Linked DNA regions of Xenopus tropicalis. The protein of the gene in region 3 purifies or fractionates together with the protein of the main gene of each other region. This does not show direct contact. Links are inferred from orthologs where the notes say so. Each region holds a gene or a part of one and is shown on either strand. Other genes may lie near its edges.

Region 1 (4,804 bases), on a different chromosome or scaffold from region 3:
GCCGCCCCTGTTTGGTACCATTGGGAAGCCTGGGGCCTCCTCATAAATCCTATGTGATTTATGATGATGTGGACCTTAAAGCAGCGGAGATATGGATCCATTTCTATAATCCATATTTTCTGTATGCTGTCCCCCCCTGCTGTTCCTAGGCCCACACTTTGCCTCTCTTTGATAAACAGATCAAAGACCCCAGCTTCCTGCCCCAACGGGCTGATCCCGCATTGTCTGATGAAGTTGTTTATGTTGTCACCTTCCACAGTCCTGGTTGTGTCTTTAAGGGATATTTGTGAATTACCCCCTACTGGGAAGGGTTTCCCTCAAATGTGGATTTCAACCAGACTGAAATTGAAAATTTAAAATCTATGGAGCCTTACTGCTCCAACATGACAATGACCATTTGGCCCTTGGGTCAAATGATCGCATTGCAATGAAGGGGATAGGAAAAGTGAGAGTGATATGACTAAAAATCAAGCATGTCCAACTGAAATCTGGCCAATCTTAGGCCAGAAATTGGTCGGAGAGGCCTGTCAGAGGGCCCTATACACAGGCAGATAAGCTGCTGAGTCCGTCTTAAGGACCCAAATCAGCAGCTTAAATCTGCCCTTGTACGGGCACCTTTAAAGAAGTTTTCTATTCAGGCAGCAGCGATCTTAAGGCTGCTGTGCCGCCCCCCCTCTGCGTTTACCTCTTCAGCATTGGAGCAGGTCCTGGGGGGGCAGCATCACTATATCAAATGGAGGTCACTGACCCCCCCAATCGAATATCACTCTCTGCACTAGATGAGCTCAATCTCCATTTTTAGAAATGCAGCTCAAAGTTACCTGAGGTGGCTTTTTGCCACCCCTGGTACATGCCCACTCACTGCTGCCTACAGCAAGGTTCTCACATTGCCTCCTGGCAGGAGCAGCCCTGTATTCAGGTGCCCAGGCAGCATGGTGGCTCAGTGGGTAGCAGTGCTGCCTTCTGCTGAGTCCTGAGTATACTCCCACATAAAAAACATAAACATACCAGCATGTAATTACTTTAGGATTAAATTGTCTCTACAATATGTGATAGGGACCTTAAACTGTTCTGGGCCAGTGACTGATAAAGTGAATGATGATGAAGTGAATGATGCAGACTCTCTGTAAAGCGCTGCGGAGTTCTGTTCACCAGGGGTGACGCCTCCCAGATAAATTCATCATAGCATTATTCTCTAAGGCCAGAAGATGTAGCTCTCCGCCTTACAGATGCAGAATGCCAGGTCTCCAAACGTCTCCCATTTTCGGGACTTTAGAAATGGCCATCAAAGGACAATATATAATATTATTATTTTTTTATGTAACCAACGCCATCTGCTGCCTGCTGTAACCAACAAAATGTCTGCAACCGACGAATGGCGACAAGTATTTGAGTACATCAGGTAACAAAAGCAGAGTTTAGATTTCCCGTTACCTGTATACCACGGATTAGTAATGCCCACTAGAATTCAATCCGTTTAACCCGCATTGTCAATAGAGTTCCGTGGTTTAGTCTACATCGTATTTACGCTTTCCTAGAGGAGGAAGGCTGACGTTGTGACGTAAGGGTCATAGGGTAAAGGTTAGCGTCAGCAATATGGCGGCTACTAAGAGAGTTTTGTACGTGGGTTAGTACTTTTTTACATTTGCATTTTCTTCTTTTAGAGGTACGGGGTTAGTAGTGCAAAATAAATGGAGCGCAATCTTTAGCATTTTGCTGCTATTTGTAGCAATACCTAGAGAAGCCATGAGAGACAGCCATGTTCACGTGGATAGTGGGGCTGCAACCCCCATCTGTTAATCCGGGCACCGAGCTGCACGATATTTTCCTGACTACGGGGGCTTGTTAGTGCGAGAAGTGTCTTTAAAATGTTTTGTTTAACTTTTCCTGCTGTAATTTCTGTTCTAAAACTTGTTCATTCATGTGATTAACAGGCGGGCTTGCAGAGGAGGTGGATGAAAAAATCCTGCATGCAGCTTTTATTCCTTTTGGCGATATTACTGATATTCAGATACCTCTAGACTATGAAACAGGTAAGTATGGAACTTAATGCACCACTATGCTCATTTTAAGATCATGGGGATTTATATACACATATCTAATTTACACCAGTTTCTTTTTCTGCCTGTCTCGCAACTGGGTTTGTGTGTGAGTGACATTTCTCATTCGAGGGTGAACTTTTGTAATTAAAATTACAACTTTTCTGTGTGAAAATATCTAGTGGCACATACTACTAGCGAAGTATAGCTTTCATGAAAAAGCTGTGTTAAATGATGTATTTTTATAGAGACTGGCTATTTTTAGAGGTATTGCAGCTATGACAAGTTTAGCTATGATGCTATATTAAATATGCATAAATCCACTAAGGTAGTATATTACAAACTGGCCTTATGGGCGTGACATGTATAGTGCACCTGTTGAAATATTTTGGTCACAGGCACTGTTTAAGGAAGATATGTAACATGACTGTAAATCCCTCAGTCTTGTAGGCAAAAATTATTTATATTGTTTCACTCTAAGCTAAAGTTTATAATTATCTTTAAAACAACCCCTTTATTGGATCTCCCCATAGCTCCACTAAAGTCCCTGTCCATGTTTCAAATGAGGGGTTGGTGTGTCCTAATGGTCCCTGCCACAAGCACAGTAGGAGCGGGACAGCAAATCACAGCCCTGCAGTCACACAGGCAAAGATAGGCTTCAGTTCCCTATCAGCTCAGCCTAGCTGCTGATTGGTTCCTAAGCTACAATGCAGTGTGCAGGGTAGCTGGCAGCAGTCAGCACGACCTGGCAAAGGAGGCAGCAGCAAGGAACAAATGGGCAGAACCAGCACAGTTTTTGGAGAAATTTTCAATAAAAGTTCATTAAAAAACTTTTAAAGCACATTTCTTCTATATCTAGAGGAGTATAATGCACTGGCACATTCTTGTTTCTTACACAACATATCCCCTTTAAGCTACCCATTACAAGCACATTTCAAAATACATATTGTAACTGAATGCAAGAGTAATTCTAGCTTCACAATTCTTACATTCTTAAAACAATTTACCAGTTCAGCGATAAGCCTTCTGTATAATGAGCTGCCCCTTATCTCAAAGCCTAACAAAGACTGCAGCTGGGGAAAGGAGGTAGGTGTTTGTATAGAGGGCATCTCATTGTACTGGTAATTTGAGTTTATCAACTCGTAAGAACCAGGAAGTTGATATCAGTCTTAATTTCACTTTCAGGCTTTGCCATGTATGGTTAAGAAATAACACGAACCACAAATATTTGTAGAGCTATGAGATCTGTTATCCAGAAACCTGTTATCCTGAAACGGGAAGGCCATCTCCTATAGACTCCCATTTTAATGAAATAATTAAAAATTATTGGGTTTATTAAATGTTTAAATGATTTTAGTGTACTTAAAGTATGGTTATCCAAGTTATTGAAAGATCCATTATCCCATACCCATGAATTATGGGTGGATGCTGTGGGTTATTTTATCTGTCCATATTTTCTCTGATATTAAATGTTCATCATTCTAGTATGATTTCTGTGTTCCTGCTTCTCCTGAGAAAGAATTATGTTTACAACATTTTGTATGGGTATTAATGGTTGGTGGTCTTATTTTCTTATAGAAAAACACAGAGGATTTGCATTTGTGGAGTTTGAGCTTCCAGAGGTCAGTTATCAAAATAACTTATACAAGGTGGATTCTTTATCCTCTATTTCTTCCCTTAGGGTGCATGAGGGAGATGGGGTTCTGGCAATTCATTCTGGGGATCAATTCAGAATTTTTGCCTGATTTGCAGCTATTATTGCACATGCCAGTAATTAGTGCCTCACACACGGACAATCAGGTTTTACAAGGAAATAAAATATATAAGTATTGGGTTTATGTAAAAACGTTCATAAATGTTATCTGAATTGTCACGAATGTATATTATATATACATAGAAACAATTTTTATCAGTTGGCCTCGCTTAGGATAGCTGTAGCTATGTTCAGCCCAAAGTGTCAGGTATGCCAAACTAATTTCTCCCAGATGAACATTGAATTCCAACAATGTCAGCGCCCAATATATATTATTTATTTCAATTGAATGTATCTTTGTTTAATGTTGCATTTTTTCCATTTTCCAGGATGCAGCTGCTGCAATTGATAACATGGTAAGAGTTGGTTATGTAGTTTATTCACTTAATTTGTGCTTAGGCCTTTTATACTGTCTTACTTGTAGAAATGCTAGCAAGTCCCAAAGCATCAATTCTGTAATTTAATACTTAATATACATATCAATTTATGTTAACCATCACTTGCTTTAGAAGTTTGTCTAATGCATTTTATATAAATAAGCTGGAGAAGCAAAGGTAAGTACTAAGTAAGATTTACCAAAGTTCTATGTAAATACAGCCATAAGCACTACCAAAAAATCTACACTGGGTCTTCTATCAAAAGAAACACAGGATTTCTTGTCTCCTTTTTTGTGAACATGTTCTTGGGTATCTGACTTCCTCTCTCAGAAAAATCCTTCATTCCTGGGCCAGAGTCTGCTCTCTCCTCTCTTCTTTGTTCATAAGAATGCATTAAACTACCCCCACCCTTTAGGAATGTGTAATCTGAGCTACAACAGCTAGCGCTGCAAGTAGGAAGCTACTTAAAATGGCAGCTGCTATCTTAAACAAACAGAGAAAGCTTCTAGGGATCTTTACTCAGGTATGGTAAGAATAAATATGGTGTTCTAGGTGGCACTAATGTGGCAAATGTATTGGCAGTTAAATGCCAAAATGAATTTCCTTTATCTATAAAGCTAAATTTGCACAGCAAA
Region 2 (4,731 bases), on a different chromosome or scaffold from region 3:
TACTATCTGAAACTAACTGAACTTAGAAAAAAAAAAGAAAGATAAACAACTCCTTTAAAGCTTAACTAAACTGAATTAATCCATTTTGTTGGCAAAGCAATCCTGTTTGATTTACTTAATGTGTAATTTTTTTTTAGCAGGCTTACAATGGTGGCACAGAAGGAGATTAGTCACCAGCGATAAATCTTTGCTACTGCGGGCGACTAACTCCCCTGAAATGCCTTCCCACTGGCAACAATGTAAATCTCTGGAGGGGATTCACATTCTTGCCGGTGGGATCCCAAGAATTCTGGAAAATAGATCCTATAATCTGTTAATAAAATGCAAGAAAGAAATATGCTGGACTCCAGTTTCATATATAGAAAAAAAAAAAACTCTTGCAGAAATAAAAACACCTGTTAACTGAAATTAGGCAGAAAATCTGTATCAAGTGTTCAATGTACCAATAATGTCATGCAAGACAATCTTAATCGGCCAGATATCGATCGGGCAGATTAAAAAATTCAGTCGGACCGGGGACCGCATCGGCACGTTGATGCGGTCCACGAACTGACTGCGCCTATTCCAGCCGTTATAATTCGATCATTTGCCCCCAGGGCCAAACGACCGAATAAGCCTAAATTACCCCGATATTGCCCCATTGCCCAAGGTGTATGGCCACCTTTAGAAGCAGTTTTAAGTAAACAACAACATTATAGTCAGGAGAGATGGCTGCTACATCAAGGCGATGTATCGCTAAAACTTTCAGAATATAATCGATTAAAAATTTGGTACCATTGTGGAAATAATTAGGTTTTTCTTCAGTAACCCCCTCTTAGCAATCTGTCTCTTTTTATGCAGGAGCTGGAGTCAGATCTAATACATCACTGATGTGTGCTCCCTTTGCCTATACAGGTATGGGACCTGCTATCCAGAATGCTCTGGATTAGCAATTATAGGGGTGACTGCGGGTTCAAAGTGATAATTAGGAGCCCATGATTTATACTTAGAGGGGGGCAACAAGTGCACATAACTATATTAGATACTGGTTACACATCTCAGGGTCTAAGGCAGAGGTGCCCAAAAGGTAGATCACGGTCTACCAGTAGATCACTTTAAAGTTTCTGGTAGACCTCGAGGTGGAATGGAGTGGGATGACATCCCGCCACTTTTTTTTCCCCACCCCCAGCATACAGGAGCTTTTGAGTGCGGCTGCTCAAGCCATCCGTCTTTGTAGTTTCATCCCAGTATATAAGACTGTCCCCACCGGGTCGCTGTATATATTTGTTCCCACTTTATAAATGTTTCTGTGTGCAAACTACAAAGTGGGCCATGAAGACGGGAAGTAAAAACTACTACAATCCTTTCACATTAATCTTGAAGTTGGCACCCCCACATGGTCCTGCTCAGCTAAGTCTCAGTAAGGAGAACTGCATCCCTGGGGATGCGCCACATACTATTGTGGTTATAAGCCATAGTTCTCTGGAGAACTGTGTCCCCTTGCTTAAAAATATTATTATTGTAGCTGCACCCCCATAAATTACCATTTAATTGGCTGAGCACTGTAGCACAGGGCAAACATAATAAATAAATGAATTTGTTTTCTTCCAAGTCCAGTGAGTGCTGTGTCCATTTGTTGTTTACATTTTGATAACTACACCAGGCAATTTTTATTCATTAGGAGATTACATTACTATGATATATATGTTATGATTTGTTTTGATTTTTCAAAAGAAATCCCGGAGTTGCTGGTCTTTTTTATACTATTGAAACCCTTTAGAACCATAGAGGAGCACTCCCTAAACTACCCAGGCAAGTAGCCAGAGTGCTGGTAAATATGTTAAATAGAAAAGCATAGTACCACACTCAATGGAAAAACTTGTGAAAAATCAAAATTTAAATATACATACAACCTATGTATGTAGTTGGTCTTACCTGGTCTCTTTCCTCCATAGAAGTTTGTGTATTCTGTACAAGTGATGTACCTGGTAAAATAATTAACAAATAAACAGATTTAGTAACCACACAGGATTAAGGGAAAAAGATGGTATAAAATTAGCATGTAAACATTTCAAATGGCCAAAATAGGATACATAGTAAAAAAAAACTAGAAAGAAAAAATAGTCAAACGTGCAGAATCAACCCTCTAGTGACCAAAAGAGGGAAAAATTACAATTTAACAATTAAGTCTGTAACTATCAAAAAAAGTTAAAAATTATCAACTTTATTACAATCCATTAAAACAAACCCCATGTACAAAGCCAGACGTGTTTATGCTTATGCAGCATGTAATCATAGGCTGGATAAAATTAGCATGCCCAAAAACTAACATGTACAGCTTGAATGTATCAAAAAAACAAAAAAGGAGGATGCTCACTAGAACAGTAACCTATGCCAATGTATTTTTTGACAAAGAGAAGAACCAGTCTGAGGGCTGATGTCAGTGATTATTATTACTGGGGGGTATGTAACAAATGGGACCCGCCACGCTCAGTATGGCATGGTACTCGGGTTTTTCGTGCCATGGGATTTTTCTTAACAATTGGTTAGTCATCTTTAAAAATTGTTTTATTTATTTTAGGGTAGCATAACACATGTCCTGTAAACAGCCTTGGTCATTTTAAACTTCAGAAACCGTGAAAGCATTTGTGAACAATATAGTGATACTTAATGGTGTATAGTCTTTGTGGGGGCAGCAAAGTGGCATTTATGTGCCACCTACAACCTCCATTTCTGCTTACACAGGACCTTGATATAAATGCTTCCCAGTCTATCCTAAATAAAGGTCCCCACTGTATGCAATAAGTGAAAGCCTTCTTCTAACAGATACATGCCCTCCCCCTCACACACAGCATTCCCTTAAACAAGAAGATGAGAGGTTGTAACTCTGGAATATGCTATGTGTGCATTATTGGGCGAGTGTAGATCCACAGACACAGGTTACACAGAGCATGCACAAACAGTACAACAACAATACGCCGCCATTTTACGTATAAGTCGCATTTAAGGCTCGCAACTTACATTTTATCTTTTTGATGCTGACGCTTCCCCATTTTGTTTATCTGTTACTGAAGCCCCGTTCTGTTTCAATACTGAACACTTTTTCCAGACTTAGCGTCCAATTATAACTTCCGGTCCGTCTATTGGTAGGGCTCGGGTACCGGAAGTAAAAAAACGCGGAAGCGTCTAATTCGAAATATCTGTGTTCCTAATACTGGAGACGAGGATGCTATGGTTAAAGTGATTGGCATTAAAGTAGAACTAGTTGTAGATATGCTTTTGTTTGCTCCACGTTTCGCAAATTCATTATAATTAATTACATTAATATGTCGTTTCTGTAAAGGATTTCAAAGAGAAAAGGAGCATTTTAAAGCTGTCAGGGGCAACATGGAAAAGGGAGGGGACGGAGAAGATCTGGCGCGGAGTGAGAAAGTGTTGAAGAGAGCAATAGGTGATGTAGAATAGTAAGCGATGTGGCGGAGAAGATAAATGTTAAAAATAGGGCGTTTGGGGCACCAACCTCAAAGCTGATAAGGAGCAATATGAATATTAGTGTTTTCTTTACCTATTCTGACTCAAGAAATGCGCTAAAATAGGTGGCAAATGCTTTTTGGCATTCTCAAGCCCAGTACTGACTGTCAGAACTAGTTCCTGCCACTCTTTTGGTACCTGTTCTGACACATGACATTATTTGTTTTATCCTCTCTAAATGGTTTCCATAATATGGGATTAAAGGCACAGTTCAGTGTAAAAATGAAACTGGGTCAAATAGACTGCTCAAAATAAAAAAAATATTTGTAATAGAGTTAGGCAAAAATGTACAGTAATTATAAAGGTTGGAGTGGACAGATGTCTATCAATAGCCAGAATACTACTTCCTGCTTTCAGCTGTCTAACCTCAGTTAGTTTGTGAGCACGCAGATCAGATTGAAAAGTAGTGTTCTGGCTCTTATGTTTAACATCTGTTCACTCTAGCCTTTATAAATAACATTTTTGGCTAACTCACCTACCTTTGGCTTCAGCCCTGCCTAAATAGGTGCCTGGCATTGTTTGGTTCCTTTTCTTAGGGCCAGAACAGATGTGTTATCCTGGTTGCCTAAATACATGCTTCACTTAGGTTCAGGCTGCTGGAATAAGTTCCTGGTACCCTATTATAAGAGCTGGAATAGGTGTCAGCACCCCTGACCCCTGTTTTTAGTGCCAGAAAGGTCCCCTGGCCCTGTGGCTCTTGTTCCAAATCTTAATTGGGTTAATTACACCAGGCCCTTACTGGCAATCTGTGGGTTTGGCAAAGGGGCTACTTTAAGATGCCATAGACCAGTGCTGTCCAACTGGCGGCCCGCAACCCCCCTCTGTGTGGCCCCTCACCTGTCTGGCTGCTTTGATGGCTTACCTTTGTGTAAGCTTTAAATGGTATCAGTACTGGCCCCCTGCATGGTTAACACCTCAGATTCAGGCTGTAAACCCCCTGTATTGTTTAAAAATATAATCCCCTGTGTTGTTCACACCTTTTTATCCCTACATTGTTCACCCCCTGCAGTGTTCACACCTCAGACTCAGGCTCTAATCACCCATATTGTTCACATGTTCACACCTCAAACAGACTGTAGGAGCAGTAGAAACCCACAAATAAACCCTACACACTATAAAAAGAACATATACTGAGGTGGTACTGCAATTAAAAAGTTTTCTAATATATAGTTATTGTGCAGACTGTAGGAGCAGTGCCAGCATCGTGTCACTGTAGGCTGC
Region 3 (4,060 bases):
AAGAAAAACCTTCAAAGACAACACTAAGGCCTTATAATGTATTTTTACATATAGTCCTCAATACAACGCTATAAAAAGCATTGTTAATAATAACTTAACAATTCTTAAAACAGATCCAATTTTGAGGCAAATTCTTGATAATGGGTATAGATTTGTAACCAGGAAAACGGATACCCTAAGTAACAAATTATCCCCACTAATACATAACCATGGGTATAGACATATCCTGGGTCCAGACAGTGTATTACCTGTAATTTTGTTGTCAAAACACAATCCTTCACTTCATCCACTACAATGAATACTTATCAGATTAAACACTATATTAATTGCAATACTAAATATGTGATTTATCTACTCACATGCACTAAGTGTAAAAAACAATATGTCGGTCAAACAAGTAGAAAACTGAAAGACAGAATCAGAGAGCATATCCTTAATATCACAAACAAAAAATGTAACACTACAATAGCGAAACATTTCTCAGAATGTTCAAATAGATCATTGTCCTATCTAAACATAAAAGGAATTGCTAGAGTAACCTCCACGATCCCCGTGGAGGAGACATTACCCATGCTCTAATTAAAAAAGAAACTAAATGGATATTTTTTATAAAAACCAGACAACCGCATGGTCTAAACTATGAATACGATGTGACCTGTTATGTATAGAAAAATGCTTTATAAAATTGTGCCTAAACGTTGGATATTTAATCTCACATAAGAGTTATACTTAGTATCCCTATATAAATCTTTTTAACCACTCACTATCTATCATTCAATTGTACCTAATTACTTGATGATTGTGATTGGCCAATTTTTGAGATATCCCTATTGGCCACCTTATATTTAAATACTGTGTATCTTGTAAGTGTAATACAGCCTATGACTAAGTACCCTATTGGTGCGAAACGCATAAGGCTTCTTTTTGTTCTTTTATATATGGATTAAATAAACTTTTTACATTTTTTACTTATAATATGGCTGTTTTTTTATATATACCTCTGGGACATCGGAGTGCCTGCCATCAATTTTTGCTATGTGATTTCTGCTGGATAAACAGGTGTACAATGTGGGGGCTTACAGTCTGAGCCTGAGGTGTGAACAATGCAGGGACTAAAGGTGTGAACAGTACCAGGGATTACATGTTTAAACAATACAGGGGTTTACAGTCTGTCGGCTGTTTTTTAATATATACCTCTGGGACATCGGAGTGCCTGCCATCAATTTTTGCTACGTGATTTCCTCTATTATGGCTCCCTAAGCTAAAGGTCTGGGGCATGAGCACCCGGGCCCATCTCTACAAAGGGTAAGACATCTATACTACAAGCAAAAACTGTGATAACCCCATATATGCTGTATGTACTGCCTGCCCCATGCTGCCTATGTGTAGGGCAGGCAGAGTATGATACACACAGTCAGCATAGGGCAGGCAGAGTATGGCACACACAGGCAGCATACTGCCTGTGTGCTATACTCTGCCTGCGTGTGCTGTACTCTGCCTGTCCTATGCTGTGGGAGGTGAACCTGGCAGGGGTTTGTTCTGGGAGTTTGTTAGCATGCTGTAAGATGCCATAGACAGTCACTATTTATTGATCTGGTGGGGGGCTGTTTTGGTCTCTGTGTACTTTAAATGCCAAGTACACTTGATAAAGCGATGTGCACTACTACTACCCATTCTACAGCATAGTTAGAAGTGCGTGGACAACTTACTTAAAAAGTGAATGCTGAATGATTAAAAGTACAGGAGATACTAGAAGAAATTGAAATAGCCACCCCTTTTTTAACATTAAAAAGTAACCCTGCACACTGAGAAAGCTGAAAATTCGGTAAGGCAAATCATGTAAACTAAACACAGATGTCTGATGCACAAATAGTTTTTAACAAAAATAATTTATTTCCATGGGAAAGCACTGTCAATAAAAACAGTGCTAGGAGAGTTTGCTTTTTTAAAAGTATTCATTTGAGTTCTAAGGTTAAAATTACACAATTACACAAGCATGCTGCTAACATAAAACTTACTTGGTTTTTAAAGCTGTTGGCTGGTCTTCTGTGCCTGCAGAAAAATAACTGTTACAAAGCTGTCATTAATGTTCGTGTAACTTTATAGAGATCATAGCATGCTGTAGTCTCCTTATGTAGTCTTTACAGGCAATGGTCTATAAATAATCCATATAGCAAATATTAAATGCTTGTGTTAAAAAACAAAAAAAAAAAAATCCCCTAAAAAATAGATCCTCTGCCCTCAACTATACCCTTTTTTGCAATATTTTTACATCAGCCAACCATTGTCAAGCCAGACCTATGCTTTCATCTAATTAATTTTTGCATTCCAGTAATTTCTTTTGCAAGTGTTTACAGGGACTAAGTTGTATCGGCAAGTTGTTTTACAAAGTTAAAACTCCCAGAAGTTTGCCCTTTATATTGGACACCAGAGGGATCACCTGTCAGAAGCGAGAAATGATGGGAGCTTGCCTCTTCTTTTATAAACTATTAGAAACTAGTAGCAAAATGGAAAGTTCTCCTCAAAAGTTATGATTTTTGAATCATAAATTAAAAAAAGAAGGAAAGGTATAACTAGAAGGTGCCAAAATGTTATGCAAACCCCAAGTGATTTTAATGGCTTACTTGACACCACGGCTACCCTAGTTAAGACGCTTCCCTGTGTTCTCTTGCTAATGAGGAGCTGTAAAGAATATCTTCGCTCTATACAACCAGACTGGACTGTAGAGAAGATCCAAGAAGATGATGGGAGTGTGGTGCTCCTACAGTAGTACCCCAAGCTGGTGCAACTTTCAGCAAACAGAAGCACCGGCCAGGGGTCTCAGGTAAGAGATTATAATCTCTGGGGTGCCCCTAATATTTTTGGTAAATTATAAAATTACACCCTCATTGCACCACTGATTTAATTTAATTTAATTTGTGGTGAGCACACTTTTGTTTTGCCTAAGCAGTCATATAATACAGGACTCTAGAATGCTCATTAGATTTCTAATGGTGGCCACCCTTAGGAGGACACTATGCTCTGTTTAGACAAACTGAGGTAAAGGAGATCAACTGACTAGGTAGACTAAGTGGCCAAGTGAGATTTCTATGTATTCTGGTGTGCCAGTTTAATACTACAAATAGGCTGAATATTAAAAGCAGCTCCTTTCTTTAATCTTTACATTAAAAAATAATTTTACATGACAAGCTTAACTTTATTTCAAGGAAAAAATGCAGTTGTGAGTTTCACCAACTGTCTGTTTATTTAGGTGTTTACTTAAAAAAAACAAAAAAAAACTGCTTCTGAGAAAGCAGATGACACCCAGAAATGAAATCAAGCATTTAATTTTGCCTACCTTTAATTCGTTTGCTCTCTTGGTTCTCTGGTTCAGACCCCTTCCTTTTCATAATGTGATGAAGCTGTACTTTATTTGAGGGACTACTTATGTTAGCCTTGGATCCTTTTAACTCAGCAACTTTCTTTAAAATATCAAAAACATTAGGAAACAGAGAGCAATTTACAAACTTAAAAACTAGGATCACATAAATACAGTAATATAAAAACAATGATATTGTATGTGTTACATGCAACTTGAATGAGTAAATAAGGCCTGATTAACACTGAATGAAGGTGCTTTGTAAAGCATAATGGTAAAGGATGTAGATGTTCAACATATGTGAAAAATGTTGTTAAAAAAGTCACAGTATCATGTTATAGAATTGAAAAAAAAACCCACACTTAAGTATAATATAAGGGTAAAGGCACATGCACTAAATTATTTACACATAAATCTACTGTCGTTTATTTAGAAATCACAGCAGGTATCCTTGCTGTGTTTTTTCTTGAAGACGTTTCGCCAGTCATTCAACTGGCTTTCTCAATTCACAATGAATTCAAAGTGAGTGGAGCCACCAACAGCCAGTCCATTTCCACCCATTAAATTTCATTGGTTTATATTGAAACTGATGCCATTATGTAAGTATTAATTCCAGGGTTGTTAAACTCTCCAAAGTCAGTCACTGGGTATTTGCGGTTCAAAGTTAGAAAAAGTAGGTGGAGCCACCAACAGCCAATCACA

The links.
Region 1: the proteins of znf830 (region 3) and ppie purify together in Homo sapiens (affinity purification with mass spectrometry; 3 studies listed by BioGRID and IntAct, counting the BioPlex papers as one, with this or other methods). This does not show direct contact. The link is inferred for Xenopus tropicalis from reciprocal best matches to the Homo sapiens genes ZNF830 and PPIE.
Region 2: the proteins of znf830 (region 3) and ppil2 purify together in Homo sapiens (co-immunoprecipitation; 4 studies listed by BioGRID and IntAct, counting the BioPlex papers as one, with this or other methods). This does not show direct contact. The link is inferred for Xenopus tropicalis from reciprocal best matches to the Homo sapiens genes ZNF830 and PPIL2.

The regions. Positions count from the first base shown.
Region 1 is NC_030678.2:91,050,690-91,055,493, forward strand, and holds the start of ppie (peptidyl-prolyl cis-trans isomerase E), read left to right. Parts: upstream 1-1,729; 5' UTR 1,730-1,759; coding exon 1,760-1,844; intron 1,845-1,934; coding exon 1,935-2,033; intron 2,034-3,617; coding exon 3,618-3,661; intron 3,662-4,121; coding exon 4,122-4,148; intron 4,149-4,804. UniProt on the Homo sapiens protein: Involved in pre-mRNA splicing as component of the spliceosome. Combines RNA-binding and PPIase activities.
Region 2 is NC_030677.2:154,149,310-154,154,040, forward strand, and holds the start of ppil2 (peptidyl-prolyl cis-trans isomerase-like 2), read right to left. Parts: upstream 3,091-4,731; 5' UTR 3,033-3,090; coding exon 3,001-3,032; intron 1,965-3,000; coding exon 1,915-1,964; intron 1-1,914. UniProt on the Homo sapiens protein: Has a ubiquitin-protein ligase activity acting as an E3 ubiquitin protein ligase or as an ubiquitin-ubiquitin ligase promoting elongation of ubiquitin chains on substrates.
Region 3 is NC_030682.2:73,852,331-73,856,390, reverse strand, and holds part of znf830 (zinc finger protein 830), read right to left. Parts: intron 3,462-4,060; coding exon 3,338-3,461; intron 2,053-3,337; coding exon 2,019-2,052; intron 1-2,018.